Canis lupus familiaris: one gene and its partners. Each later gene encodes a partner of the first gene's protein in a complex. Links are inferred from orthologs where the notes say so. Each region holds a gene or a part of one and is shown in the gene's direction. Other genes may lie near its edges.

What was found. Proteins that work in one complex are often made in the same cells at the same time.
Region 2: the proteins of GNAI3 (region 1) and CASR are in contact, whole or in part, in a cryo-EM structure (PDB 8SZH), measured with the Homo sapiens proteins. The link is inferred for Canis lupus familiaris from reciprocal best matches to the Homo sapiens genes GNAI3 and CASR. Residues at the interface, in NP_006487.1 of Homo sapiens: Ala31, Lys32, Gln304, Glu308, Lys314, Asp315, Thr316, Lys317, Glu318, Ile319, Tyr320, Thr321, Phe334, Asp337, Ala338, Thr340, Asp341, Ile343, Ile344, Lys345, Asn347, Leu348, Glu350, Cys351, Gly352, Leu353, Tyr354; in NP_000379.3 of Homo sapiens: Lys644, Ala645, Asn647, Arg701, Val702, Val705, Phe706, Ala708, Lys709, Pro711, Thr712, Arg716, Trp719, Phe801, Ile869, Val872, Arg873, Thr876, Ala877, Ala880, Phe881, Lys882, Val883, Ala884, Ala885, Arg886.
Region 3: the proteins of GNAI3 (region 1) and RGS2 are in contact, whole or in part, in a crystal structure (PDB 2V4Z), measured with the Homo sapiens proteins. The link is inferred for Canis lupus familiaris from reciprocal best matches to the Homo sapiens genes GNAI3 and RGS2. Residues at the interface, in NP_006487.1 of Homo sapiens: Val179, Lys180, Thr181, Thr182, Gly183, Ile184, Val185, Gln204, Ser206, Glu207, Lys209, Lys210, His213, Ala235, Glu236, Asp237, Glu238; in NP_002914.1 of Homo sapiens: Glu104, Phe105, Glu108, Asn109, Glu143, Ala144, Pro145, Glu147, Ile148, Asn149, Asp151, Phe152, Leu180, Asn183, Ser185, Arg188.

What each region holds. Positions count from the first base shown.
Region 1 is NC_049227.1:42,736,645-42,746,745, reverse strand, and holds part of GNAI3 (guanine nucleotide-binding protein G(i) subunit alpha), read left to right. Parts: intron 1-492; coding exon 493-650; intron 651-3,375; coding exon 3,376-3,504; intron 3,505-6,588; coding exon 6,589-6,718; intron 6,719-7,119; coding exon 7,120-7,273; intron 7,274-10,101. UniProt on the Homo sapiens protein: Heterotrimeric guanine nucleotide-binding proteins (G proteins) function as transducers downstream of G protein-coupled receptors (GPCRs) in numerous signaling cascades.
Region 2 is NC_049254.1:26,034,748-26,045,452, forward strand, and holds the start of CASR (extracellular calcium-sensing receptor precursor), read left to right. Parts: upstream 1-5,244; coding exon 5,245-5,429; intron 5,430-7,827; coding exon 7,828-8,134; intron 8,135-10,705. UniProt on the Homo sapiens protein: G-protein-coupled receptor that senses changes in the extracellular concentration of calcium ions and plays a key role in maintaining calcium homeostasis.
Region 3 is NC_049259.1:6,815,691-6,826,517, reverse strand, and holds RGS2 (regulator of G-protein signaling 2), read left to right. Parts: upstream 1-5,366; 5' UTR 5,367-5,415; coding exon 5,416-5,525; intron 5,526-6,549; coding exon 6,550-6,651; intron 6,652-6,754; coding exon 6,755-6,816; intron 6,817-7,394; coding exon 7,395-7,561; intron 7,562-7,835; coding exon 7,836-8,030; 3' UTR 8,031-8,695; downstream 8,696-10,827. Other genes in the region: protein SPT2 homolog, read right to left, coding at 4,105-4,258, 4,959-5,359. UniProt on the Homo sapiens protein: Regulates G protein-coupled receptor signaling cascades. Inhibits signal transduction by increasing the GTPase activity of G protein alpha subunits, thereby driving them into their inactive GDP-bound form.

The sequences.
Region 1 (10,101 bases):
ATTCAGTCTCCTCTTCCTGTTCCTCTGTCTGAGCTGAGGAAGAAGAGAACACTTTCCTTAAACTCCATTAATGTTTTACTCGCTCTGAAGTGTTTAGACTTTACCTCTTACATGCTAGTTTTTTTGTTTCTATTTTTATTGTAGGTTTGTTAACAAAATGGTAATGTGTTACATGTGTTTATATCACAGACCAGGTTTTTTCTGTCAAAAAGCTATGAGTAAGCAGGGTGGAGATATGTAAGCCACTCAGAAGAGATCTTTTTAGGAGATAGTGGTATGTGGTGGGGGGACTGAAATCATTCCTCAGCTCAGCTCTGCACTTCTAACTACAGTGGAATGAGTAGGGGGAGTGACTTCATTGTAAATTCTCTCAGACAGCCCTGCCTGGAAAGATCTCTTCAATACTTCTCTTAAAATAATGAAACATATAATGTGCGTGTCAAGTTCTTTAAGGAGCGGAGAAGCATTCTGTCTCTTAACTTCTTTCTTCAGGATGATGCCCGGCAATTATTTGTTTTGGCTGGCAGTGCCGAAGAAGGAGTCATGACTCTAGAACTAGCAGGAGTGATTAAACGGTTATGGCGAGACGGTGGCGTGCAAGCTTGTTTCAGCAGATCCAGGGAGTATCAGCTCAATGATTCTGCTTCATAGTGAGTAATTTTTCCATAATAGAAAATAATTTGGTGACACTAAGAAAGTTCAGAGTCTGTCCTTGACAAAACCTTAAGTAACAGACACTTTTAGAAGTCTGTTGCATGATTTCAGGTTAGGGTAATTACAAGCCCTTCGTCATTTTGTATGACTTGGAGAACAACATTGCCTCTTGGAATGTAAATGGGAGAATTAGTACCATGAAAAGTAGCTCCATGGTAGTTTATAATAAGTAAGTGAAAGAGGAGAGAAATCTTTTGCAGCTGGATCCTGGATCTCTTCCAATGCAGTTCCTTCTGCATAAGGACTTTGCATTAATTGCCAGCTAGTGAGGGAAATTAGAAATGTGATATCCCTTTTTATGCATCCAACTCTGTGGCTGGCCTGCACTATGGATTTCTCTGGTACTGGTCACCACTAATAAATCTTTGGCCAGATCACAATAGTAGACTTTGTACAGAGAATGTTGAGTCTTAGTAAGAAGTCAAAGCATCTGTTTGTCAAGGGAATTCTGTTAAGTGTTAAATAGTTTGAGAGAATGTGTAATTAATACTTGTGTGAGGCTTTGATGTGCTGATTTTGCCTCTTATACAACATGTGTATATATAAGATCTATATTCTGAATGTAGGTTTTTAATGTGCCTTTTGGAAACTTGGTGAGTTCTTTGTACCTGTATCTATCTCTGTTCTAATTGGAGGCACTTTTAAGTATTAAGGTATTTTCTCCAATATTCACATTTTCCTATCTTTCATTCTTATTTAAGTTGTTGTAGGAAGAAGTTAAATTATATTTGAAAAACTTAGTTATCTTGAAATGAAAACTTAACCTTAGAAAAATTTCAGGATTCTTGCCCACCTTTTTTTTGTTTTTGTCTTCGTTTTTCTTTTTCTTTTTCTTTTTTTTTTTTTTAAATTGGAGTTCAATTTGCCAATATACAGCATATCACCCAGTGTTCATCCCGGCAAGTGCCCCCCTCAGTGCCCGTCACCCAGTCACCCCCCCCCCCCCCACCTACCTTTCCACCACCCCTTGTTCGTTTCCCAGAGTTAGGAGTCTCTCATGTTCTGTCATCCTCACTGATATTTTCACTCATTTTCTCTCCTTTCCCTTTTATTCCCTTTCACTATTTTTTATATTCCCCAAATGAATGGGACCATATAATGTTTGTCCTTCTCTGATTGAATTATTTCACTCAGCATAATACCCTCCAATTCCATCCATGTCGAAGAAATGGTGGGTATTTGTCATTTCTAATCTTGCCCACCTTTTAATATTTTTTAGTTGCATATGTTGGTAGTTTCAATAATTCTCCCAGTAGTCATGAAAGCTAGATTGTTATTATTTTTTATCATACGTTCATTAAGCTCTAAATCCTTCAACTACACCAGAGAACATGTGATTTATAAATTTTTTTTCCTGGGGATCCCTGGGTGGCTCAGCGGTTTGGCGCCTGCCTTCGGCCCAGGGCATGATCCTGGAGTTCCGGGATCGAGTCCCACGTGGGGCTCCCTGCATGGAGCCTGCTTCTCCCTCTCTCTGCCTGTGTCTCTTCCTCTCTCTCTCTCTCTCTCTCTGTCTGTCTCTCATGAATGAATAAATAAAATCTTTTAAATAAAAATATAAAAGTAAATAATTTTTTTTCCATAATATTTGATTGAGACTTGCCTGATTCCTTAACATTGATGGTAGTACTTAGTTTTATAGAGGCTCATTAATGATTCACTTATAATAGTGCTACCTGTTCTTTAGTTTTCTAGCTAAAAACTCTTTAGGAATCTGAAATTACCAAAAATTTAACTTAGCTTTAAAAAAAATTAACTTAGCTTTGAAGCCGTCTTTTAATTAATTCCCTGAATAAATTTCTTGGAAGTATTTACAATATTTTTGACTTAGATTTTAAAAAACCCACAACTTTTTTTTTCCTGAATAAAACCAGAAAATATTCTTATTGAACATAGTTCTCATTTTAATTTTAGTAATTCAAACACCATTCTCTAATGTCCCATCAAATGTCAGAACATACAAATGACCTATTAACTTTAAATGTCTGAAGGCTTTTGTTTTGGTTTTTCTCGATTTTTTTTTTCCAAAATTTTTTATTTTTAAGTAATCTTTTCACCCAACATTGGGGCTTGAACTTAAAACCCTGAGATCAAGAGTCACATGCTCTACTGACTGAACCAGTCAGGCACCCCAGAAATCTTTTTTAATAAGAATGACATTTCCATATTTGTTTCCTTCTAATTGGCCTTCACAGCTTAATTGTGGTAGAATTAAAACCCCCTTTGTGTGGCATTTATAAAACCTACATTAATTGTCCTATGCTAGATTCACATTTTTTTCCTCATCATTTCTGTGATACCGAAGCTCTGATTTTGTTCTGCCACTTTATTTTTTATTTTGTATGTTTTTAAACGATTTTATTTATTTATTTATTCATGAGAGACAGAGAGAGAGGGAGAGAGAGAGAGAGGCAGAGACACAGGCAGGGGGAGAAGCAGGCTCCATGCAGGGAGCCCGACATGGGACTCGATCCCAGATCTCCAGGGTCATGCCCTGAGCCGAAGGCGGCACCAAACCGCTAAGCCACCCAGGGATCCCTTGTTCTGCCACTTTAGTGACAGGTTTAGAATCTACTTTTGGCAAGGAACTAGTTTAGGTTGTTGATTTGGTGTGTACATGGTTAGCTTCACCAAGTTAAAATAAATGTGTGTTTTATTTAGTTACCTAAATGATTTGGATAGGATATCCCAAACCAACTACATTCCAACTCAGCAAGATGTCTTGCGGACAAGAGTGAAGACCACAGGCATTGTGGAAACTCATTTCACCTTCAAAGACCTATACTTCAAGTAAGTCATTATTTTGCTAGATGTGCGAATTACAAATATCTTTCCTTTAGTTTGTATCTTTAATCAGGGTAAAATTTCTCCAGGCCATATTCTTTGCTTTAAAAACCTATCATCAAAACAACCAACTAACCAACCATCATATTCATCAGCCAGTATTTGAATTTTAACTGAATGAGGGCCCAAACCTTTCTTCTTTCTCCAAATAGCATCAAATACCTTTGTCTATTTGAGAAATTTAAATTCAAAATTAAGTTGTAAATATCAATAAAAGTAATCACATGGTTATCTATTTATTTTATTTTTAATTTTAGTCTTTTCAGCTGCTTTTTTGTTGGAATCGTCAAAACAGGTATTGAATGTTTGTTGTTTAGAAGGGGTAACAATAATACTAAGTATAGATACTTAGTGATGTGGCTTTGTTCTGCCATTTTGATATTAAAATAGAAATGCTTTACTCACCAGTGTTGATCTTTCCTTACCAAAGCACATTTCCCTTTAAGTTTAATGGAATGGAGCTAATATTGTCATGGCTCTTGGACTGATTTGTGCATAATGTCATGTACAACTAAGTTCTTAATGTAGTATGAATGGAAAATTGATATAGACATAGAGGTATTTTGGTAAAGTATGATAACATAAAAAGTGGTTTTAGAGAGAGAGAATTCTAGTACATGAATACAAAGGACTTTCTCATTAGCATTAGTCTTTCTAAAATAGGCTTCATCTTGTCTCTGTGTTAATGGTCTTTTGTAAATAACTGTCTTTTTGGTTCCCGTTTTCTGCTTTTGTGACCTTTAAGATTAGGAATAAACTTCTCTTCAATATATGATGTTTGTTCCAGCTACCTCATTATACTTGTATGTAGTCTGTGATAATCATCACTTTTGCACAAAATTGTAATTTCTAGCTGAGAGCTTCTCCATGTTCTTCTCTCTGAAAACAGTTACTTCACAGGATTTGTGAAATCTACAGAGTTCAGGTATTACTAGATACCATTTGAGGTCTTGAAATCTTAATAAACCAAAACAGATCTGAAACATGGTGCAGGAAAATAGTTCAGCTGAATATTAGTAGAATAGAAGAGCTGCTTATTTTTTTAGGACTGATATATTTAACTAGAGTAGCAAAGGCCATATGAATTTATCACCTGTGCAACCTATAAGAATGAGATGTCTTTTTGTGTACTACAAGATCAGTAATCCATTTATAATTAAATGTGGTGAACTTTATTTAGTGTGGGAAACATTCTTGTTGATGTTGACATGGGTTGATCTTTAGTTGGGTAAATCCTGTTGGTCTTGTGTCAGAATCAGTAGCCAGCTCTAGTTAAGATGCCACACCCACTTTATTATTGGCATAGAGATCTTGTTATGAAGTACTATCACTTCTTCCTTTTCCTCTTCTCTCTAGGCAAAACCACTATCCATTTATTCAAACACTTATTGAGCATCTGCTATATGCAAGGCATTGTGTAATTGCTTACTTGCCTCTCAGTTATGAGGTAATGTTTATAACATGTTGATCTGTTAGTGAATTATATTGTAAATGTTATATGTGCTAAAAGCCCACCCTTGGGACGTCATGGTATTCTGCAACTTTTATGGACTTTGTAGAAGACAACAGAGGGATAAACTGAAATTATTGCTGTACCAGCATGTGTCTCTCCTTGAAAGATTTCTGTGGCATATGTGATGTTTGCTTTCCTAAAACCTATTATATGATCTTGTATTAAAGCCAACTTGTGATTGCATCATTCCAAGTGTCATGTCCAAAGGCTGAAAAAAACCTATGCTAGATCAACCACAAGAAAAGACTGGGTTGTAAACTCAGTTATGTCTTATTTCTCTTGATCTTCAGGGGAAAAGTCTTTGGAAATAGACATTGAGTCACTTTAGATCTGGCATACTAAACCAGCTTGGCAAAGTTTACCTTTTAAAATTTTGTCCTTGTCATTAAACATCTATCTTCAGAGCATCTAATCATTTGTATACATACCTCCTCAGATGCTGGTACTAGCTAGAGGTAGAGCACTGCAGGTGTTCCTCTTACTGTAGGAGGTAGATGAGGACACTGTTGACAGAAGTGCAGTAGGTGGGCCAGGATGTCAAGTAAGCCCCCCAGAAGGGAGTGGTGGACTGAAACTAATCAGGAGTGGAACATAAAATCTGTGAACAGCTGAGGCTTTGTTATTATTGATTAGATTCAACTAGGACATAGAGTTGGGAAATAGTGGTTATATTGGGCTCTTAAGAGTCCTACCCTGAAAAACAGTTTACTTTCCCCCCGTAATTAATCTCTGAAATATTTTTTCCTTAAAGTAAGGAAAACATACCTCAGCCATACCTCAGTTAAAAAAAAAGAAAGTTAAAAAGTAAGGAAAACAAACTTTCTGGAAGCAGAATGCAAGTTGGATATTTCTATTTTTTATTGTTCTCTTTGACTGAAGAGGTAAACCATTTTGGGGAGTCGAATGGTGTTACGGCTAAGAGCCTGGGTGCTGCAGTTAGAGTGCCTGGGTTCAGAGTCCCAGTCCCCATTTGCTAGTAGTGTGCCCTAGACCCAGTTATTTACCATACCTGTGCCTCAATTTCTTCATCTGTGCACTGGAAACAATAGTACTAGCAGCAGTGTTGTGAGGGTCAAAGGAGTTAGTGTACTTAAGATGTATAGGATCATGTTTGGTACCATGGTAAACAATAAATGTTAATATTTTGTTACTATTATCTTAAGTTGTATTATTTAGCTCTTTATTTTTCCTGTCCTTTTTCCCCCCTCCTTCCTTTAGTCCATTTCAGTGCTTTTTCTGCTGACTTTTGGCACTCCTGATAACAAACTTAAAGGAAGTGCAACTAGTTACCTAAAACGAGGATTTTGATTGTTCCTAGATTTTATTTTCTCATGTTGTTCTCTTTTACTTTTAACCACAGTATTAGTTTGACTGCATTTTATCTGCTCCTTGTTTGTCTTTTCTATTATAAATGGAGTTTTGAATATACATTAGTGGGAAGTTCTCTAACCACTTCAGTTTAGGGAGAGGTGTATTTGTGACCTTGCTGAATTTGTGCATTCTTTCCCTTTACTCAGGATGTTTGATGTAGGTGGCCAAAGATCAGAACGAAAAAAGTGGATTCACTGTTTTGAGGGAGTGACAGCAATTATCTTCTGTGTGGCCCTCAGTGATTATGACCTTGTTCTGGCTGAGGATGAGGAGATGGTATGTGGATCTTCTGTTTAATGTAGCCAGGAAGTAGAAAATAATTCGTAGGAAGATGTGCATTCATTTGCTCATTGAACCAAATCTTGATTCCTTAATTTTTTTTTCCTGTCAGTGAGATTAGACTTAAAATATTGATCCATGCCCTTCTTATTCTTTAAGAGGTAGGACAGCACATTGAGTATGTGGGCAGGATTAAGGCCTCTTGTTAGCCAGTCTTCTTCCCACTTCCCAACTTCCAGGGATTACGAAAATGAGGATTGACTTAGCTTTTGTGTTATCAGTGTCTAGCTTATTTCCATGAGTGCCATTCAGTTCTTCTAAAACTTATTGGTCTGTTTTTTTCATGAACAGTTCATGCACTTTTACCTTTTGCTACTGACATCATTTTCCCCCCTCAGAACCGAATGCATGAAAGTATGAAACTGTTTGACAGCATTTGTAACAACAAATGGTTTACAGACACTTCAATCATTCTCTTCCTCAACAAGAAAGACCTTTTTGAGGAAAAAATAAAGAGGAGTCCATTAACTATCTGTTATCCAGAATACACAGGTAAGGGATCCTGAATGATTTTGTTGGAGGTACACATCTTAGATCAACACTTCAGTGACATTGTTAAATTTGTCTTTTATTTTGAACAATGTATGTATGTCCTTATGGAGAGTGTTCACTGGTAGTGATATTAGCATTAAGCATGTGATTAAGACCCTTTAAGTCTAAAGTGCTATTCCAGATATAATTGAGTTTACTATGTATATTACATTTCTGTCCTCAGTTTTTGAAGAAAATAGAGAAAGATAAAAATAAAAATTTGGTGTGTTTCCTTTTTTCTAGAGGAAATGACATTTGGAGTGAGATAATGAGAGGATGAATTAGAGACCACTAGGCAGACAGAGAATTAAAAGCTTTTTAGGAAGAAGGAATAGTGTATATGAAAATAGGGAGGTAAAAAAAAATGTCATGAGGGGTGCCTGGGTGGCTCAGTTGGTTGACCATCCGACTCTTGATTTCAGCTCAGTTCTTGATCTCAGGGTCATGAGTTCAGGCCCTGCATTTATTAATAAAAGTAAGTAAATTTGTTAAAAAAAATTTTTGTTTTTGGAACCTAGAAAGAATTTGATATTGCCAGAGTTTAATGTGATGGGAAAGAGTCATTAGAGTGATAGGCAGAGATGCTCATGGAGGGCCTTGTATCTCATATGGAGATGGTGGGGCGCTATTGAAGGATTTTGATTGGGGTACATGATATAGTGGAAACTGTGCTTTAGAAAGATAAGCAGTAAATAGCAATAAAGATAGTAGGGAGTTGAATTAGTAAGGAGTCTCTTAGGATGCAAATAAAAACTTTAGGTGAAGATACAGGGATATATCCTAGAAGCCAAGGGCAAGAATGCAGACATACCTTAAGAATACATTTAGGAAAAAAAAGAATACATTTAGAGGGGGATGCCTGGGTGGCTCAGCAGTTTAGCACCTGCCTTCGGCCCAGGGTGTAATCCTGGAGTCCTGGGATCGAGTCCCACATGGGGCTCCGTGCATGGAACCTGCTTCTCCCTCTGCTTGTGTCTCTGTCTCTCTGTGTCTTTCATGAATAAATAAATAAAATGTTAAAAAAAAATCATTTAGAGGGCACCTGGGCAGTTCAGTTGGTTAAGTGTCTGCCTTCAGCTCAGATCATGATTCCAGGATTCTGGGATTGAGCCCAATTTTGGGCTCCCTGTTCAGTGGGGAGTCTGCTTCTCCCTCTGCCCCTCTCCCTTATTCCTGTGTGTTCTCTCTCTCAAATAAATGAATTTTTTTTTTTAAAGGGAGTTCTTCCTTTAAAAAAGAGGAATGCATTTAGAACTAAGAAATAGAAAGCTGTCAAGGACTCTGGAAGCACCTTTTCCCTGTCTCTTTTTTTTCTCCTTCTCTCTGTGTATCTTTATTCTTCTCTCTGTTTACCAGCCTTCTGTGCTACTCACTTTATGTGATACAAGATGGCCCTGCCACAGTATCTCTCCTGTATTCAAAACACCAGGTTAGGGGCACTTGGCTGGCTTAATCAGTAGAGCATGCGACTCTTGGTCTCATGTTGTAAATTTGAGCCCTGCACATTGAGTGTAGAGATTATGTGGAAATAAAATCTTAAAAAGAAAAAAAAAAAGAAGACCAGGGTACACTGATAGTGGCTGGCCCCAAGTTCAAATTTCTAGAAGAGAGATTCTGGCCAGTATTAATTTAGGCAAAAATCCTTAGCCCAGTCATTCAATCAAAGTTAGGGACACAAATATGAATGCCGGGCTGCACCACTATAACCTTTAGATCAGAGTTGGGTGTTTTCAGGGAAGGAGAACATATGTTGGCTGAGCAGACCCTGTAAAGGCTTTCTGTAATGAAGTAGAAGAGTGTCACTAGGGTAAGGAAGTGGGAAGAGTACTCGTAGAATTCTGCCTTGATTGGCTGCTGGTGCTATGATCTGAATTGATATTTAGGAATCTTGATTTTGAAGCATCTGTGGAAAATCCAGATGGGGGTATCTAATAGGTAGATACATACGTGGCCTTGGAGCTTTTATGAGAGATTGGGGTTTAGATATATTGATTGGAGATCATGTATAACTACAACATGGAAATGGATGAAATGACATGGGGTGATGATACAGAATGAGGACAGAAAAGACCACAGAAAGAATGAGAATACCAGACTATTGGCAGGAGAGAAAGAAAGGTTTATATTGGATACAAAGAGAAGAACCAGGAGAGCCAAATTATCAAAAACTGAGAAACTAAGAAGCGAAGTGTGGTCAGTAATGTTTAGTGCAGACAAAGTAAGATACACATTGAAAAATGCCCTCTGAAGTTAGTGGTCCAGGAGATGGTGAGTGTTATTGAGAGCAGTGTCAGTGAGAGCAGAGCCAGGGCAGTGAGTTTTTGAGTAGGAAGTAAAGAAATGAAGACCGGTGTAGCCTACTCTTGAGCAGCTTGGATTACAGGAGAAGGAAAGATTTAAGAATGTTCATATGTGAGCATCCCCGGTGGCGCAGCGGTTTAGTGCCGCCTGCAGCCCAGGGCGTGATCCTGGAGACTCCGGATCCAGTCCCACGTCAGGCTCTCTGTATGATGCCTGCTTCTCCCTCTGCCTCTCTCTCTCTGTCTCTGTCTCTATGAATTTAAAAAAAAAAAAAGAATGTTCATATGCTTAGAGGTAAGATTTTATAACAAGAGAAGTTGTAAAAAGTAGATGTAATTAATGGAGCAAGATTTGTAAGTAGGTGGAATTCCATACAATAGAATAATAAAAAGGAATAAAGTACTGATACATTGTATGAACCTCATAAATATTATGCCAAGTGAAAAGAAGCCAAACACAAAAGGTCACATTTATGTGATTCCTTTTAT
Region 2 (10,705 bases), on another chromosome or scaffold:
GTTGAACTTTCTCAGGTTTTTCCCTAGTCACCCTCATTAAAATATACACATTTCACCTTTCTGCCACGGTGGCTTCAGGCCTTATTGTTAGTTGTCTTTATGATCAGTATGACAAAAGAGGACAAAGATTATAGTATAATAAATCACAGACAAATCAATGTACTCACTCTATGTAGATAGATGATTTCTACTGGAAATCAATTTTGGTTTCATAACCGCCTTTTTTCTAGGCAACCTAGAATTTTTATTTCTGCAGCCTACGGATCAAGAAATTGCAGTTTTTGAGCTTGCCATGCCTCATATTTACTGAGTGTTTTGGTTTTTGGTTTTTGGTTTTTGTTGGGTCTTTGTTTTTGTTTTTTAACTGAGTGGTCCTATGTTCAGAAGATCTATGCTTCAGTTTTCTCTAGTTGAAATGTAGGTAAAATCATTCTTCTCTAGAGTTACACAATTTCTGGAAATGTTAAAGCCAAGGGGCAAGAGCCAGGGTGGTTTTTACTTTGATGGAAATTGAAATGTGGCAATGTTGCCTTCTAATCTCGCCCTTCTATCCTCTGGTAATTCACCCTCGACTCTGGAACATTTGGGACAAATGCAAGTTCAGCAGATATTGAGCGCCTTTCAGTACCAGGTTCCATGTTCAGTGCTGGGAATGCAACTTTAATCAGGATGAAGACCCTCCCCTCAGGAACCTTTGGTCTTGTGGGATGACCCCTTTTCTGTTTTCTCCTACAGTTGCCCAAAAAAGCCCCTGGTTTTTACTGGTCATGCTTCATTCATTCATTCAGCAGATACTTGTGGAGCACATACTAAGTTCTAGGCATTGTGCTGGGTGCCAAGCTACAGTGATGAGAAGAGACAAGCCATACCCTCAGGAAGCTTCTGGTCCCCACTTTGTTGGGGGGTTTTTATACAGACATAATTATTTTTTTCCTTCCTGTTTTAGGTACAAATATATTGCTTGTTTTTCTTTTATTTAAATTCATTTTGCCAGCATATAGTATAACACCCAGTGCTCATCACATCATGTGGTCCCCACTTTGAATTAATTCTCCTGGCAGTATTTCCTCCTGTACTCTCTCAACACCTACTTCATGCCTCCTTCTAGCACTTGCATCATTCTACTTAGAATACATATCTCTGTCTCCTTTTAAACCATGAGCATCTTGGAGGCAGCAATCTCAACTTTCTCTCCTGGGTACCTTGCACTCCCTAGTGTCTAACACATATGGGGAGCTCAATGAATGTTTTTGGATGAACAAATGATTGCAGATGAATTTGCAAATTAATTAACCTATGGAGCCATAGACCAGTCTGCCCTGACCTGCCATCCCACATCTCTTGGATTAGGAAGGAACTCAGTGATCGGTCATCTGTTAGTACTAAAACACTCCTCATGATTTCAAGGGCTTTCTAAACATAAAACCAGCTGGTACACGGGTCATTTCTTCTTCCAAATATATCTGCCATTGAGATAAAGAACAAATACTAGCTTTAGCTTGTGTTTACAATACTTTTTTGCAGGAGGACAAACATGATTATATATGATTTAAATGAAATGAACTTATAGTAAGGAAAACAAATGAGTTTACTTGTGACTTTTGGATAGATACTTGATATAGCTACAGTAAGACGAAATATAATAATGACTTATACTGCTAGAAGCTTTTTTATCTTTCGTGTAAGAGCCCAGAAACAGTCTGATACGGAGGTTCTGCTCCATGAAATCATCAGGTCATGGTACCATCATTCCCTAAGATATGGTGCAGGGTTCAAGATGGGCTCCACCTGCCACATATACCTCCATGCAGCAGAATGAAGGTAGAGGGATGAAGGGACAAAGGATAAACACTAACTCTTAAGCAGTTTCTTGGAGGCTGTCACAGGCACTTCAGCTTACATCCCATTGACCACACATGATTATAAAGGAAGTTGGGGTGGAGGCTTTCATTTTGGATAACCACATGCCCAGCTAAAAATGATTTTAGTGTGGCATACAAGGAATACAGACATGAGGGATACGATCAGATGTCTCTACTGCAGATACTGCAACTGAAGTGTTAGTGATTATTCAAGAACTTTTGTATTCTCATTACTGCAAGCTGAGGTCACATTGATGAACTCCAATTGTTAATCCACTGTGCTATGATCACACTTGGTACTGCCCTGATTGTCCTTATCAATGACAGCATGAGTGAGGTAGAAGGAAAAGAAAGCTTTTGCAATAAGGAAACAGGGAGGCAGTGGGAGTCTGGGTAAGGCGGTGGCAACAGCAATCAAAAGGAGAAGGCAGGGTGGAGAGAGATGGTAGATTCAGCAGGACAAAGTGATTGGATATTGGAGGAAAGAGAGAGAGAGGATCGAGAATGATTCAGCTTTAAAGCAAATTAGGCCCTCGTAATTGGGCTAAAAAGGGTGGTTTGGAGACTGCATTAAACTGGTGGAGTTAACTGCTGCAAATTGACCTGAAATCTCTCCTTGATCTATTACTTCTTGCCATGAATTTTCTCTTGAATGGACTAATGAAGTTAATAAACTTCTCCAAGTAGTTAATCTTTGACAGGAAAAATTTAACAGGTCTTAGTGACCTACCTTAACCAGTCATAATGTTCCCTCTCCTAATTCAGTACCCTACTCGGGACTTCTTAAAATTCTGAGTTCTTGAGGCATTCTTAATTCAAGTGCCAGAATTTCTCACTTGAGTAAGCTGAATATATGGAGAATCTATTCCCCCACCTGGAAAGTGGAGTTGGTACTGCAGTTGTGAAATTTAAAAAAACACTGGATGTATAAAGGACCTGACACAACAAATGCTAAATGCCTGGTTCAATAATATGCAGGGAACATGCATATGTTTGTTACCTTTATATTTCCAGTCCTTAATACATGTACTTATTAAATGTGTGAATGAATGCATGACCAAGATCCAAGAAATGAAGCCAAAAATCTAAATGCAGAACTAGAGTCAGAGAACTACTCCAGGGTAGTTCTGGATGGATCATGGATGTTCAGACCTGAGGTCATGAATGGTCAGACATTATTAGAGACAATTCCATGAATGTTGAGTGTCTGTGGGGGTACTCCTTCCACGTGGGTCCCAGTATCCTCTGCTAGAATGATTGTTGGAGAAGGTGGGGTTCCTACAGGGCAAGAAACAGCATGTAACAATGATTAAGGGTTTGGGCTCTGGAATCAGACATTTATGCATATAATCATAATAAAATATGAAAAATCTCCCAACAGGAGAACTCCAAGATCCAAGATGTAAAAGATTATAATAGGTGGACCTGCCTAGTCTGAGGGTCCAGGGAAGGCCTCCTTGAAGAGTCCTGCAAGTTACTCACTGCACAATGAGGGATTAGTATGGGTGGAAATCCAAACTGTGCCTCACTCCCAAGCTGGATGCCTTAGTGCAGGGCTGTGTCTGGCCCATAGGAGTTCTTTTCTCCATTCACACAGAAGCCCCAGTTTGCCAAGCTATACCCACAGTCATGAGCATCTAAAAACTGAAAGATAAGTAGATGTGTTTCAAGCAAAGTTTGGGCCAGAGGGACCAAGGAGGGAGAAAAGCATGTGTGTGGCCTGGGATTTTACAAAGGCCTGGTGTACTTGAGGAACTGGTGGAATTTTGGTATAACTGGAGTGTGAAGTTCAAAGAGAAGACCACCAAGAGTAAAGTTGGATTGTGGCTAGCATTTTCTGGGAGTTTACTAGTTACACTATGTTAAGATCTCTCCATGCATTATTTTATTGAGATCACAGAAAAATGACTTTACCTAAGTCATATGTTAGAAAACAGTGAGACTATGATTCAAAGCCAGGTTTAACATCAGAGCCTGTGCTCCAAACCAGGTGTTTCATGGCATCCTAAGATTTGCAAAGATAGACTGCAAAGGGATAAAACTGAAGACAGGAATGCCTATTAGGCAATAGTTGCAGAAATCCAGATATGAAATGCTGGCAGACTTAAGATGGCCTCAGAAAAGGAAAGGAGAAGATGGATTCTAGAAATTTAGGAAGCAGAGTCTACCGGACTTGGTGATTGTTTGAATATGAAAGGCAATGATAGGAAGAGAGAGGAGTCTAGGATAACTCCTTATTTTGTGTCTTTGTAAATGGTACTTCATTTGCTGACATTAAAAAACAAGGAAGTAGCAACAAGTTTGGCAGGAAGGTGAGTTTAGAGCTTGTCAAGTTGGAAGCACGTGTGGGACATCCAGGTGGAGATGGCCAGATGACAGTTCAGTGCTGGCCCTGAACCTTAGGAGAAGCTGTATGGTTACCCAACATTTGACCTTGACCCAGAGAATGGGTGAGAGGGTGTAGAGTGAGAAGAACAAAGATTTCCCACTAGGATAATTGTGCTAAAGCAGAAGGACTTTTCCTTAGATCCAGCTGTTGAAACTTTTAAACATAATCTGACCTTTGATTTATCTGCATCCTTTATAAGAACTATTCCTCAAAGGTTTATAGAGTGTCATATTATAAACTGAAGCCAGAGATCTGTGATAAGAAGGTACAAAAAAGGGACGAATATAGATTAGGTGGCCTTTTTTGACATTTTTGATTGATTTAAAGCCAGATTTAAACTTAAATATGACTCATTCTGTATTTCTGTAAGAACATAGGCGCTGAATAAAATGTCATTTATATTATAATAATGCAAGGAACTGCTTCTACTAAGAAAATTCTGTGCATTATTCACACAGAAGAATGAATGGATTAAAATCCAATAACAGCATCAGTAGAGGCCTTAGCTTACCTCTTTAAAATGTGGCCTCACAACTGAACACAGTCCTTCTCCAATATGGGCAAGTAAAGTTTTCTGTATCTTACATGAAGTGCTATAAAAATGAGACTCTAAGTCATGGCTTCCCCTCTTGCTACTCCTCAGCCTCTCTAAATGGAAATTCTAAGCCATGTCAGTTGCATGCAGTCATCATAACAAGATGGGACTTAGGCTTAGCTGAATTCATTCATTTTGTCTCTCTTTTCTTTTAGAAAGCATCACAGACACTCTTTCCACAATGTGGCTTCTAAAGACTCAAGGACCACCCACCTTACTAGTCTACGATGGCAAAGGCAAAAATGGATATTCAAACATCACAGCTTCCATTCCGTTATTAATCATTCTGTAGACATGTGCCCCCACTATAGGAAGTGAACTGCACTAAGGGGGAAAGTTCCAGCAACCCCCAAACCACCAGCACTCTTGTCTCTCCCCCTAAGAGAGAAGGCATCACTATGGCATTTCACAGCTGCTCTTTGATCCTCTTGGCAATCACCTGGTGCACTTCTGCCTATGGGCCTGACCAACGAGCCCAGAAGAAAGGGGACATTATCCTTGGGGGGCTCTTTCCTATTCATTTTGGAGTAGCAGCCAAAGATCAAGATCTAAAGTCAAGGCCGGAGTCTGTGGAATGTATCAGGTAAGGAAAGGACCCAAGTCATAGGGTCTCTTGTCTTCTGGTGGTTGTAGAAAAACTCTACCAAACCCAAAGTAATTTATTCAAAGTTGGTTCTCTCTCAAAAAAAAAAAAAAAAAAAAAAAAAGTTGGTTCTCTCTTTTCAAAAATGGTGATTGGTAGTCATGCTGAAATTATTCTACTCCCCTTTTTAAAAGAAATTTTTCAAAAAGTAAAATGTCAAAGATACTGAGTAGAAGAATCCATGGCCTATTGGGAGTATGTGTCTGGTCACATGGTAACTGAATCATCATTGTTCACCTGGCAGCAGTGTTGCCTAATGAAAGACTAAGTACCTAGAAGGAAATTTGTTTTAGGTCTTGCAAATCTGAGTAGTAAAATCTCCCATTTACCTTAAGTGCTCTGAGTGTTGAGTGTTGGCTGAGTGTTGGATTTCTGCAACTATTTCCTAATAGGCATTCCTGTCTTCAGTTTTATCCCTTTGCATGAGTGTTGGCTGAGTGTTGAGTGTTGAGTGTTGAGTGTTGGCTGCCTCACTCTCATTTTTTCCAAAAAAAGGATTTTAGGGTCGAAAGAAACCTCAGTGGTTGGCATAACCCATGCACCTTCAAAATGCAACCCACAATATTTTGGAGGTCTTTCTTCTAAAAAGCCAAAATCCTCCTACCCAAAACAGAATACACCTAACACCAATGGAGAAAACACAGAATTAATCTAAGTCTCTCACTGAACTCTCTCTTCAGCCATTGGAAGACAGCTAACATGTCCCATTGAATCACTTATTTTCCAGGCCTGAGTCTTGGTTTTCTGAACAATTACTTCATGACATGATTTCCAGACACTTCACCATTCTCATCGCCCTTCATCTAATGCTCCCTAATTTATCACGACTCTCCTAGAATATGGCAACTAGAATTAGGCACAATTCCATCAAACAAGATCTGACTTCTGCAGAGTAGAATGGACCATGTATCACCTCCTTTCACAAAGATATCAGAGACCATGACTGTACCCCAAGTCTTTACCCAACTTCTAAGAGAAAATACCACTTTCTCTCTGAGACTTGCAACATTCGGAAGGGATCCGGCACTTTTTCTGCTCTTCTTGATTGCTGGAAAATGAAAATGAAAACTAATTGCTCCAACAAAACGATTTCCGTTCATGTTCGAATTTGGAAAATTAGATAACATTTTTACATTTTTCTCATGAATACAGAAAACTAAGTACAGAATTTCAGTTAGGCTAATTATATCCCCTCACACATCCCATGTGGACAGGTGCCCTACTGAACAGAATTGCACATGTGCTACGTATATTCCTAAGATCAAGCAAGAAGCCCCGAAATACTATAATTTTAAGTTATGTTAAAGAAAGATAGTAAAATCAGATAAGTATTTTATGTAAAGAAATATTCTATAACCTCTCTTAACTTTTCAGGGTTAAAACAAATAGCTAAACAAAAAAGTGATGGATAAAGAAAATGACTAAGAGAAAACACATTAAAAGTTAAAAACCTACACAATAGAGTGGAGTATAGCAAATTGTATTTCTTACCTCCTGTCATTGAGTTCAAGTAACCTACCACATAAAGAAAAAGCCTGTGGAGTTATTACATTTCCCCCTTTGGGGACTGACACACTGATTCAACACACTTACCTAGTCCTCGCTCTGAGCCAGATCCTGGGAGAGTGAAAACTAAGTCACTAACCCTACTTCTCTTTGTTTAATCTGCTTGATATTTATTTAAAATAATGTTCTTTGGAAAGCAATGCACGCTCATTTTTTATAACAGATTATATAAATAAACCAAAAGCCCATTTATAAAACCCATCACTCCACCACCCCGAAATAACCCCCAAAAACAGCCTTCCTACAAATGTTCGTTAGTTTACAAAGATGAGATCTATCATTTCCCTTTCCCCTTTGACCTCTAGTAATGTCATAATCTAAATTTGTGACTCTGCAAATCTGAAGTTACTTCTAGGCTCCCACCTATTAAAAATCCTAATCTTCTTTATATTTTCCCTAATCCTTTTTTTAAAATCTCTGTATTATTTTTAATACTTCATATCAGCAACTTCAAACTCTTTGCTGGATGAAACAGATACAAATTATTCATTCTATTCTAATAACAACCTTTGTGCTATCATTGCTCCTTCTATGTAAGGCACCAGGCTGAGAATTTTGCATAATTATCTCAGGTTCACAGCCACCATATGAGGTAAGCATTGTCCCCATGTTACAATGCTTGACCATTGTCCCCATTGTCTGAGTCTCAAAGAACACACCACGAAACCAAAGAGTAACAGAGCCATGATTCAAACCCAGCCTTGCTCAGTCCCCATCCTCAAGCGATTGATGAGAAAGCTTCCCATTTCCTTCCATTTCTTCTTTCTTCCAGGTACAATTTCCGCGGGTTTCGTTGGTTACAAGCAATGATATTTGCCATCGAGGAAATAAACAGCAGCCCAGCCCTTCTTCCAAACATGACACTGGGATACAGAATATTTGACACTTGCAACACCGTTTCTAAAGCCTTGGAGGCCACTCTGAGTTTTGTGGCACAGAATAAAATTGATTCTCTGAACCTTGACGAGTTCTGCAACTGCTCAGAGCATATCCCCTCTACTATCGCTGTGGTGGGAGCAACTGGCTCGGGCATCTCCACGGCTGTGGCAAACCTGCTGGGCCTCTTCTACATCCCCCAGGTACACAGGTCTTCTCAGATGGGGCAGCAGTGTAAACAGGAATCAGGACATAAGGACTGCCATGCCCAGTGTCCCTACAGCTTGCTGTTTTCCTACCTCTGGCTTTACATTAGCATAAAAGACCTTTAAATTAGTCAGGGCACTGTATCATGACCATTTGGGATTTCTGAGACTCCAGCATCAACCATGTCAACTAAACCTTCACAACTCTTCCAAAATTCTTTTAAGTATACTGTATATAGAACTTTGTCTTTTTTATCAAAGTGTTCAGTCATTTACTTTCCACTCCCTTCCTTTATTTAATAAATGGCCGTCCTTCTGACTTTACTAAAAGGAATGAAACCATATGATGTAAACCCCACCTTTCAACTCAAAATATCTGTCCCTAGTCCTATTCCCTTAAAAGTCTGCCTATCTTCTGGTTGAAAGTTTAGCTCAGGGGGAAGCGGAGTATACTTTCTCACAGAACAGGAACTTAATCATTGTCTTGCATGTTCTAGAAATGGAAAAAATTCTGTTTCATTCAACAAATATTTATAGAGCATATATGAATCAATAGTGTCCATCCTGCAGGAATTCAACCCAGGTGAGGAGATGTCTCAAATACTAGTAAACAGTTCACTGAAACAAGTGTTTTGATGAACATTTGTTCAAAGTTGCATATTTTTCCCCTATGAAGTAAAGCTTTTTTCATGTTAATATTCATAGATATATGACATCATTTTTATAATAGTGAAAAATTGGAAACAACCTAAATGTCCATTGAGGGGAGAATCGGCTCAATTTTGAACATCCTTTATATCAATTTTTAAATTATGAATCACAATTGAATTTATCTTTTTCAGTGTCTAATATTTCAAATTTGTAGGAGCACCTTTGAGAAATTCACATTTATATGTTGGGAGTCTCCATTTCCTTGGTGGTAGACATTATCGTTTTATATGCATGTGGCAACTAAAAAAGTCTTGTCATCATTTCCCGAATCTTTACTTCAGGGAATTAAAGGTATTTCCCATGGGGAAGCCCTGGCTCTATAACTTTTATGCAAGATGATCTAACAATGCCCCTATCAGTAAATGTGTTGGGCAATATGCAAATATGCATCTTATGAATTTGGCATATTGTACAGTATTTTTTTTAAATACACTGTTAAAGTAAGTTGTTGTAGCCAAGAGGCACAAGATATAATTGCCACCAAGTAAATAAAGAACCAAAAGTAAAGGTTTTGATTCTTTGTGGTTTGGATGAAAGACAAGGTTAAGCTAAATTCGAATTATAAAAGTGTTGTGAAGGCTATAATAATTCTCAGTCAAAACATTGTTGAGTGTATCTACAGCAGTGGTTCTCTGCTGTGACTGCAAGTTGGAATCACACGGGGAGCTTTAAAAATACTGATGTTTGGGTCTCTTACCCCGGAGATCCTGGTGTTTTGTTTGGTTTTTCATTTGTTTTTATTTAAGTTCGATTTGCCAACATATAGTATAACACCAGTGCTCATCTCATCTAGTGCCCTCCTTGGTGCCGGACACCCAGTCACCCCATCCCCAACCCCCCACCCCCTCCCACCTCCCCTACCACAACCCTTTGTTTGTTTCCCAGAGTTAGGAGTCTCTCATGGTTTGTCTTCCTCTCTAATTTTTCCCACTCAGTTCCCCTCCTTCCCCTTATAATCCCTTTCATTATTTTTTATATTCCCCATATGAGTGAAACGGAGATCCTGTTTTCATTGATATGAGATGCAGTCTGGGTGGCAGTTTTGAAAGCTCCCAAGGTAATCCTAATATGCAGCAGAGTTGGCAGCCACTGCTGTGCAGGGTAGGGGCAAGGCCCAGGGGTATTTCTTATGCCACTCATGCCATCAAGTGGACAGAATAAGCAGCCCAGCAGGACAGTTGTGGTTAGAAGTTTTCTGAATCATTCATAAAATTCTTCCCTCTTACAATAACAAAAGTTTTGTGTATTTTTAAGGGTTTTTTGTTTTGTTCTGCTTTGTTTGTTGGTTGGGAGGACAGATAATGAGGTAGTATTTATCCCCATGTTTCTAGTTGTTTTTTTTTTAACTGGACAACTATTATAAATGCATTTTAAGAGAAACATATCCATAGTAGATATATATGTGTGTAACTTTAATCCTTTAAAAATGCTTTCAGCCCATTTTTCCAAAGAAGTAGTAAGCAATAATGGATGAATTTACAAAATGCCCAAGTAGGTTTTTCATTTGCAAAAATATGATTCAGAAGCCTGTTGTCTGGGTCTGCAAATAGAGCTCTGTTAAAACAATAACATTTCAACAAATTACTTAATCAACTACCTACACCTCATGAACTCTCATAACAGCAAGGGGCTTATTCTGATAAAAGAAAAAAGTCAATTTCATATTGTAACTTTCAAAATCAAAGCTTTTATCAGAAAAATCATGCTCTTTAGCAAAGTTGGCCTAGAGGTGGTAGAAAGGGAAGGGCAGAGGGAGAGGAAGGGGGAGAGAGAGAATGTGAAGCAGGCACCATGCTCAGCACAGAGCCAAATGCAGGGCTTGATCTCACAACCCTGATATCATGACCTGAACCGAAA
Region 3 (10,827 bases), on another chromosome or scaffold:
CCTGTTTTAACTTCCTTGCAAAGGGAGGTTGCCATAATCACTTCCACCCTAAAGATAGGAAGCCTAGGCACAAGAAGACTAAGCAACTTGCCTGAGGTCATAACTAAAATCATACCAGGAACTGGCAACTAAACACAAGGATCCCAGGCTTGGAAAAAACCTCCAACCACACTGCTCTCCTAAGGGATAATTTATGAAAAGAAAAGCAAAATTATTTTGTCTTTTGAAGCTAAGAATGTTGAGGTCTAGTGCCATTAGCTCAGCATTTAAGACTTCAATATTTATGACAGATGTATCAAGGCCTACTGGTATCTCTTTGAAAACATTGTTCTTCCAATTGATTTTATTAAGATTTGAGAATTTTTGTTCCAAAAATGTGTTTTGTAGAGAAACTTCACAAGATTTTAGCTTCTTATGAAGTAGTCCATGGATCAAAAATCTTTGAAAACCAAAGTCTAAAGTGGATTAATACTTTCTACATAGGGATAGTCCGTAACCTGGAAATACCAATGCAGTCTTAGATGAAGAGCAATCCTTCTTCTCTCTCTCTCTGACTCTCGGTGATTGGTATCATATACAGACCTTTGAAATCTTATATATTATGAACCCAATATCCTAAATGTCAAAAAGTAGTCAGTAGGTCACTTGACACTCTAGTGATTTGACAAAATTCTGTGCACAGAAATTAAAATCCCAGGCAAAAGAAATGCCAGGAAATAAACTCTTAGCTCTCCCCACTTTATAAACAATATACTAGCTATGTAACTTATTCTATAAAGAAGGGATTTAAAAAAAAAAAAAAAAGAAGGGATTTAAATCATAACTGTCCCTTGAGATTCTGTGGAGTGTATGGTCACAGAAGAGAGCGGTGGCTATGGGCACACACTAGCAATAATGCCCTAATATTAGCAATTATGCCCTAATATATTAGGAATAATGTCTAATAACTATAGAAACCTATTGGAGATATTTCAATACATGTTAGAATTTTTTATCTGGAGGTGGTGCGGGACTAGTACATCATGATGCTGGTTTTCAAAGAGCATCTAGTTGCTTTAGTGAGGAAAGTGTTCTCAAATTGATTAGGCCCTGCCTGCACTGAAGTAGGACATACCCCACATCATGGATGAATTTAAGGCAGAACCATAGACGTGCTCTAACTGGAATTACCAATGCAAAGATTGGTAAAATTACTCCTCGGTAGTACATGTCAAGTATTATGTTGGAATTCTGATTCACTCCCAACAGAAACACTAACTTTCTCTCTTATCACCTCTGGGTATGCAAACGGCATTCTAAGAAAGACATTAAAAACTCAGATCATATTAAGAAGAAAAGCATAGGATCTTTTGGGGTCGTGTGTTCATTCTGTTAAAAAAAAAAAATTCCACCAATTAAAGTTAAATGAGACTCCTCTCCCTCAAAAGAAAAAGAAAGAAAGAAAAGAAAAGAAAGAAAAGAAAAAAAAAGAAAAAAAAGAAAAGAAAAGAAAAAAAAGAAAAAAAAGAAAGAAAAGAAAAGAAAAGAAAAGAAAAGAAAAGAAAAGAAAAGAAAAGAAAAGAAAAGAAAGAAAAGAAAGAAGGAAAGGGGGAGGCGGTTGGAGGGAGGGAGAGTAAAGGACAGGTAGGTGTCTTACTTCCTTAAATACTCTCAACAATCACAGTATTAAAACTTTCCTTTTTTTCCAATTACTCATCACACCCTTTGCCACAGAGCACTTAACTTCTTAGGGTTTTTTATCCCCCCTTTCTTTTAAGCCTACCACCAATTTATGATTTTGTGAGGTAAGCAACAGGTTTATAGCTTTTACAAACTTAAGAACTAAGATATTTTATTGACTGAAAAAAAACAAAGCATGGAGTAATACACAGAATGATTCTTGTGTGTTCTTTAAGCATTTCCCTTGGTTCTTAAATTCTAAAGCCTAAGTATGAAACTTATTATGTATAAACAAGTTTAGCTAATAAGAATAATTCTTAGTAATAACAGCTTACAGTGGCAAGAGCATACAGAGGGGAGAATTGTGGCAGGGAGACTTTTCCTTTCCATATTCTACTTTTGGTATTGTTAGAGACTTGTATTTTTTTGTTTGCCTTCTTCCGTAATTTAATTTTTTTTTTAAATACAAAAAGTTCAAGAACCACTTGGAGAACCACCTCCACCACTAATGGCTTCTGAGAACCTCTCCAGTAGAGGGCACGGTAGATTCAACATTGAGAATGTATATTCTCCAGCAAACCAAACTGTGGTTTTGCTGTGCAATATTTACAACCTATTGCATTGTTTCTCCCTCCACCACAGAATGGAAAATATGTGTCATCTTAATGTTGAGCCATCCCATTTACCTAAAAGCCACTTGCAACAAAAAAAAAAGGGGGGGGGGAGTCATCAAACATTGTAGTTTTTGCTTTAAATCTATGTCTGCAGCCCTTATAAATGACATTAGCATGGCAATTTTTTGACTAAAAGTTTTATCAGTCTGAAACAGGTCTTGCCCTAACTCTTCAAATCACTTTACACACAGAAATGATCAACCATTACACAGTGACTTATCAACTGACCTCATAATCTTCAGGAAAAAATTAAATTTGCTGCCATCAGTTGTCCATCAGAAACGGTTTATGAAAAAAGCAAATAATTACATTAAACACAGAAACATCTAAAATGGTCTACATTTAAACAGTTGTTTACACAGATACATATATATTCACTTTTGTGAATATATTGAGATGATCTAACTTCCCTGGCTTAGAGATCTCTGAAAAAGTTTAAATGGCAAACTGTTTTCCTTATTTGCTTATTATCCAGAAAGCTTTTGTTAAGTATCTTATTATGAGCTTAAGCCTTTACAAATCTGACACATCATTTTGGTATTTTAATCATATTTGCACATTTATAACCTAATTAACTGAGTTAAACCTTTAATGATTTTCTCCCTTGAATAGCTATATTTCCTTTTTCACATATGTGCGAATTTACAATACCAAACCTCTGTACTTTAGAATTTACAAAGGCCCCTCACATGAGTCACATAATGTCTAATAAGATTGGCAAAAAAGATACACTAGTCTTAGCACAAATGAGAAACTGGGGCTCCAGGGGGTGTGATGAGACCGTCCCAACAGTTACTTAGCATTTATTGGTTAAGCCAAGACTCTAATTAGGTCTCCAGACGCAGGTCCAGCTCTCTCTCCTTGCTGCTTCTTAATGAGAACTCTTGGACCTTCCACTATGGATGCATACTACCATCCAAGGTTCTAAGTGAATGATGTATTAAGGTTTATACTGGCAAAAAAACAAAAAAAGAGAGGGGCTATTTATCACACGCATTTATTTTATTTTTTTTTCAATTTTTATTTATTTATGATAGTCACACAGAGAGAGAGAGAGGCAGAGACACAGGCAGAGGGAGAAGCAGGCTCCATGCACCGGGAGCCCGACGTGGGATTCGATCCCCGGTCTCCAGGATCGCGCCCTGGGCCAAAGGCAGGCACCAAACCGCTGCGCCACCCAGGGATCACACGCATTTAGTAAGTATTGAATAATCAGAACGTGAAAACTGATGGAAATACTATGCAAGGTTCTTGTAGAGACAGAGTATATGCATGAGAAAAACAGCATTCTTACATTTCACAAACACATCTTGAAGTATTTATTACTGAAATCCAAATGTTTTTTTTTTTTTTTTCCTTTCCATAATGAACTACATGTCTGTTCTCTTTAGTAGTAACTGCAGATTTTACCCTACATGTCAACTACTGGCTGCTCAGGGCACGAAGTTAAACTAGCTCCAATTTCCTTTTGGCAGTTCTAATGCAAAGCTCGGAGAGTATCTGTAGCCTAATCAATACCTTGCTGTGAGTCTTACTTTGTACTTAAATGCTTGATGGGGAAACCATCTGAATATTCCACTGTACGGCTCTGATACCTGAAATCAAGGAGTGAATTGTGTTGAGGTCATCGACTGTGGACCTTCTCCGTTTGTCCTTCCCACTCAAAAACACTTAAAGCCGGCCTTCGCACAGATGATTTTTGAACAATCACCAAATTATGCAAGTAAACCCTTCACGTCTTCTTCTCCTCCCTCCCCCACTTTGCAAGTTATTAAGTGTTCTGGTAAATTCTCAGCCAAGAATGACTCATGAGGAAACCCTGCATCCTTGCACTCCCAGGACGAGGATGGCTCTGGCGCATCACAGTTTCCACGTCTTGGTGTTTCCCTCCGTCTCCTCGTGAGGAGAGCTGGGACTTCTCTGTCCTGGAAGGAGAAGCAACCAAGGATTTCGGAGAAAAAGCTTTGCAACCCCACGGGAAGACCCAATCACGCAGGTTGCGGGGAGCAAGGCTGCACACCCTCTTAAAACACGGCCGTCGGATAAAGTCCCTTTCTCCGGTTCCTTCCCTGCTTACCGTTCAGTCCCCGCAGGGTTCCGGGTTGCCCCCCCCCACCCCACCCCCCGGCCGCGCGGGGGTCGCTGCCCCCGCCCCTGCCCCACCCCCGCCCCCGTCCCCCGCGCCCCCGCCCCGGCCCCCCCGCCCCTGCCCCACTCCCCTGCCCCACCCCCGCCCCCGTCCCCCGCGCCCCCGCCCCGGCCCCCCCTGCCCCTGCTCCTTCCCCCACCTGACCCTGACCCTGCCCCACTCCCCTGCCCCCACCCCGGCCCCCCCGCCCCTGCCCCTGCCCTCCCGCCCCCTCCCCTGACCCTGTCCCCCCTGCCCTGCCCCCCCGCCCCTGCCCCCCGCCCCCTCCCCCTGCCCCCCTCCGCCCCTACCCCCCTCGCTCCCGCCCCCGCCCCCGCCCCGCCCCTCCCTTTCATCTTTTCCTCCCCTCCCAACTCAACGGAGTCGCACAGCGGAAGAGGGGAGGGTCTCCCCGCGGCCTGTTTGCAAGAAATGAGGCGTGGGAAGAGGGCGCGCTCTCCAAAAAACAAGGGCGGGGGGTTGGAAAACATCTTAACTCAAAATAAAGCACTTGCACCCCGGTCCGCTCCCAGCAGCCTCTCCCCGCCGGAGCCTGCACCCCTCCAGGGCCGGGAGCGCCCCCTCCCGTCGTCCCGTCGTCCCGTCGTCCCGTGGCCGGGGCGCGGCTGGCGGCGAGGCGTCCCGGTCCGATCCCACACGCAACCCCGCGAGCCGCCGCGAGGGCCCGAGCGCGCACGGAGCCGGAGCCGGAGCCGGAGCCGGAGCCGGAGCCCGAGCCCCGGACGTCAGCCCACCTCGCTTCGAGAGCCTTCGGCGGCGCCCGTGACCGCCGCGGGCCGGGCCGCCCGCCCCCGCGCCCGGGTGCAGCCGACCAATCGGTGCCCTCGGGGGGCGGGCCCGGCGGCGGAGGCCCCGCCCCCTCCCCGCCGCCGCCCATAAAGGCGGCGCCCGCGCCCCGCCGCGCAGAGCTGCGGCCCCGGCAGGCGGTGGACGATGCAAAGTGCCATGTTCCTGGCCGTCCAGCACGACTGCGGATCCATGGACAAGAGCTCGAGCAACAGCCCCAAGCACGAGGAGAAGCGGGAAAAGATGAAGCGGACCCTGTGAGTACGGCCCTCGGGCGCCCGCCCCGCGCTGCGCACCTGGCGCTCCGGGTTTGCTGCGAACGTGATGACGTTAGGAAACCCTGCGACCCGCGCCTCTGCAGGGAAAAGCAAAAATGTGGAAGAGGGCAATTAGCTAAGTAAGGTTCAATCTGTGTGCGTGAGCCAAGGACTCTCGGGTAGTTTAGGACTGAGAGCATGTTAGATAGGGAGGCGGTGGTGATGAGGAGGATGAGGAGGCTAAGACCTCGCAGGTTGGCTTTGTGGCCCCTGCGTCTAAGGTAGCAGCCGAGGATCCTGGGGCCGAAGCACATCCCCAGCACTGGTGCCTTGCATTATAAGTTCTGATCAGCTTGCACAGCTTCCGGATTGGAATATTTTGGCTGGTTCTGAACATACTCGTTTTAAAATCGCTTTTTTTTTTTTTGACTGAATTGCTTAATTCACCCACTAAAGATTGTGCAGCAAATCATCGTTATGCATCATCTGCTTAAAATGAGTGTTGTAGTTGGGCTGGGGCAGGGGAACTCAGTCTCTCTCTCTCTCTCTCTCTCTCTCTCTCTCGGACACACATACACCCCCTGCCTCATGGCTTCTGGAGTGGTCCAGAGCCTCTTGCTCTAAGGGTAGGAGGGAAATGAACACCCACTGGCTCCAAGCAGTTCCAGTGTTAGGTTTCTTCAAGTGTGAAATGTCTCAGAATTGTAATCAAGGCTGCAGAAAAACTGCGGTCTTTTGTGGGTCAGAAATTGCATCTGTCTTTTTGAAATATGCCATCTAAATTCATTTAAATGTCCTAGGTAGACTTACCCTTGGTTATGAGAGTAGTACTTCTGCTCAGATGAAGGGATGAAACTAATTGCGTTAAGCACGTAGGTGCTAGGTTTAAATGTAAAATGAGTAAGACTGACTTGAAGATTCTTGTTGCTACTGGGTGGCTTTATTTGGTAAAAATGCCTTCAGCTGCCACAGCAATTTCAAACGTTGTCACTTAGTGAATATCTTTTTTTTTTTTCTTTTTAAGATTAAAAGATTGGAAGACCCGTTTGAGCTACTTCTTACAAAATTCGTCGTCTCCTGGGAAGCCCAAAAATGGCAAGAAAAGCAAACAGCAAACCTTCATCAAGTAAGTTGAAAAATCTTGTATTTGCGAACATGAATAGCTAGCTGCTGAGCTGAAAAGAGGAATTCTGATGTGCACGAGCTAATGAGCAGACCTTCTTTTGCAGGCCTTCTCCTGAGGAAGCACAGCTGTGGTCAGAAGCGTTTGATGAGCTGCTAGCCAGTAAATGTAAGTTAACCTTTTGAATTTGATCCATTTCACAAGATATCACAAATATCACAAGAGTCCACAAAGGTGTTCACAACAGAAAAGCAGATTGCTCAAGGGGAATTCAAATTTGCAATCACTAAAGATCTAATGCCTATTTTTCTCCTTTATTTCCTGTTTAACCATAGAAATACATGGTTTCTTCACTGTAGATAGGGAAGGAAAAGTAGCCCAAATTGTAGGGGCAGTTGCTCTTCCTTAAGGTTGAATTGAATCAGCTTTTTCCATTGCATACAAGGTTTCCAGGAGGTTTGGAGCCCGGAGAATTTAGGTTCCCCTCTAAATATTTGCATTAAAAGCAAAGTTAAGTATATTTTGTAGCAGTGTGCCAGCTTATGCATTTTGCCTATTAGCATCTTAGTCTTTAAAAGGCTAAATTCTGAGGGTTACAAGTTTGAGTGAAATATAGAAAATTGCCATCATTTAGAAATAATAAAATATAGGGATGGGAGAATGGTAGTTCTGGAAAAATTTTAAGGCATTAATTGGTCACCCAATTTACATTCTGCATGTTTTTTCCCCCCTTTCTTCCTCCCCAGATGGTCTTGCTGCATTCAGGGCTTTTTTAAAATCTGAGTTTTGTGAAGAAAATATTGAGTTCTGGCTGGCCTGCGAAGACTTCAAAAAAACCAAGTCACCCCAAAAGCTGTCCTCCAAAGCAAGGAAAATATATACTGATTTCATAGAAAAAGAAGCACCTAAAGAGGTAAGGGGGGCAAAAAAAGAACTTCAATTCAGCATATTTTGAATATTCTTAGCACCAAAATGAAACAAAAAGACATTAAATTAAAGGGGGGAGGGACAAGATTGTTTCAAGAAACTAATTCTAGTTTTTAATTCGCTTAATTTCATTTCTTCAATGACTTGGCTAATGAAGCTCATCACACATTATAGTTTTTGCTGCTTGTTTTCAACGATTAAATAGGTATCAGTCCCTAGCTTTGAATATGGAATAAACCCCTTTTTTTTTATAATTTCAGATAAACATAGACTTTCAAACCAAAACTCTGATTGCCCAAAACATACAAGAAGCTACAAGTGGCTGCTTTACAACCGCCCAGAAAAGGGTCTACAGCTTGATGGAGAACAACTCTTATCCCCGTTTCTTGGAGTCAGAATTCTATCAGGACTTGTGTAAAAAGCCACAGATCGCCACAGAGCCCCATGCTACATGAGACGAAAAGGGGAGCCCAAGAGTGGAGGACATTTCATTTTGTTCCTAAGGGGAAAGGCTGCGACCTTCCAAAAAGACTGACCTTGAATTTAGCCTGGGTGTTCAGGAAACATCACTCAGAACTATTGATTCAGAGTTAGTGAATCAGGAAGCTGGTGACTGTGTAGGAGAAGCTTGTGTTGGGACGGCTCCCATAGCTCTGTCTAGAACCCAGGGAGAAGGTGGTCCAAATGTGGTGTGTCTCACTCACACTGGAAAGGCAGGAATGGGAGACCCAAAGGTCTGATGTGACACTGTTGGTCCAAACACATTTAAAATCAATAGGTCTGGGATTATGTGGCCTTAGCTAGCTGGCTGTATATCTTTCCCTAATTCAGTCCATTACCACATAGTGGTTTTAGTTTTAGTTATTTAGAATAAGTAATATTAAAATGTTTACTGTGTGCAAGGGTGTTGAAGTTCATACGACTACAGATCATCAGTACTGTTGTCTCCTGTAACACTAAAACTGAAATGGTCTGTTTGAATTGTTAAGTGTTAGAACAGAACGAGTGCTGTTGTGTAGGAAACTACATTGTTCATGATGAGTGCCAAAAACTGTCCTGAAGGCAGCTAAACTTTGACGTGGTCTTTGAATACTTTTAATAAATTTATTTTGATAAATAATGTCATTGACTATTCGGTTCAGACATGGGGGAGGGGGTTGTGGGTTGTGAGGGAGGGGAGGAGTGCTGTTAATATGGCAGCTACAAGAGAAACCTTTTTCCAGTAAAGGAGAGGTACACCAGGTGATGTGCCTGTCGAGTAAGCATTGACAGTGCTCAGAAATGAGAAGTGATAGGAGTTTGTCTTCCCTGCAGTTAACGTCTCTTTTAAACCTAATAAACATTAGGTAGACCAAGAAAAGTCAGACCGCCTCCTTAGAACCACCCTGGGATCAGACTTTCTAATATAAGCTTGTTGTTAATGAAAACAAAAACCACTGACCTTAAAGCCCTTCGTGGGTATCTACTAAAGACTAGCTGAGAAGTAAAATAACGTAATGGAGGCAAAGCACCAGAATAGTTCACATAACTCAGCTTCTCAAATGAAAAAAGGAACCAAATAAGGTGAATGTAGGCCTGCCTTTTTTATTTCCCCTGGTTCCAGGCTCCCCTACAGGGTACTGGCATGAACTTCCAAGATGCATACCTGAAATTGTTCACCTCCATGATCAATACAAAAATCAGAATTTTCCTGATTCTCCTGCTTCCTCTGGCCAATAAAGAAACTGACTATGTTATGTCAGCTTATGATGAAGGCAAAAGAAGCACACTTTGTTCTTAAACTTCATCGAGGAATGTGCTCTTTTCCTAGTCAAGGGTGAAAGGACTAGAATCTGTTATTTTTTCAAACCGGTTATTTAGAAAAGGAATACTCTTCTTCAGTAGGCTTCTTTTCCAACTTCCTTGATTATAGTCTTAGTTTTAGAAAGGAGAGAGAGAGCCTTCATCTCAGATTTGCAAGACCTGAACCTAAGCAATAATTTCTCATAGCTTTATGACCTTGGGAGTCCTCATCTTCCCCAGTTCCTCAATGTACATCTTCCTGTCTATCCCACTGCCTGGGAGGTAGTAAGGGGCTTTAAAGCACTTAAAAAAAAAAAAAAAAAAAAAGGCATTCTGATTTGCCAAAAGAAAAATTGACCACCATCACCTCCCCTCCACCACTACCCCCCCACACACATACCCCATAGTTTAAATATTGTCTTCATTGTGCTGGCACTAATTTCCATTTTACCCAAAGTGTCTGGTGTCAACAGTCAAAAGCTCCATGAAAGACTGCCTCTTCCACTCCTGCAACACCACCAGCCAGGATAATACATAATAGGTGCTCTATAAACAGTGTTTGAATAAATGAATTCTGAAGGGTTATTGAAAGAGACATTTCTTAAGAGAATGAGTATGTCAGGTCTGCATATGCCTTAATTTGGGAAGGTTTTGGCCAACAGAGAAACTCAGGAGTCATGCCATATATTCAATTAGCTACCCAGTCCTATTTATATTAGCTCAAATATATTTCTAGCCTACTTTCTGTAGCCACCCCGATCAAAGATGCCAACATCTGATGCCTGCGTGACGGAAATGGTCTCTACTCCCCTTATTCTTACCCCTACTTCTATGTGTCCCTTGCTTTTTAACTCTGGGAATCCTTTCAAAACAAGCGTGATTTTGTCTCTTATTGCTTATAAACCATTGACAGATTTTCCAAACAATTAGAATAAAGGCAGTCCCCTATATAGCCTAACACCTGCATGGCTTGACTCCTCCTTCCACTCCAACCTTGTTTTCCCAGCTCTGCTGGCCACACTGGCCTACTTTCGTTCCCGTTGTGGGAAGTATGCCCCTGGTCCACAGAACCTTTGCACGTAATAGTCCCTCTGCGTGGAATGCAATTTTAGCTTTTACTCATCATTCATAGATCCAAGCAATTGTCACTTCCCCAGGGGAAGCTTTCCCTGACCTCCTTACCTAGGTCACATCCCTTTTTAGACATTCTCATAGCACCAGGTTCTCTAATTTAGAGCGCTAATAAAATTCTCAGTAATTTGTATGATTATTTGATAATTCTGACTTCTCCCCCAGATCGTGGATAGCACAATTTGAAGGCTGTGTCTTTTGCTGCTCATTCCTGAATCCCAACACCTAGCACCTTGCCTGGCACACAGTGGAAGCTACATAAATCATTGCTGAATAAAAGAAGGCGTATTAAAAAGTCTTGTAAACAAATTTTGGTGAAATAAGAAGTATCTACACATG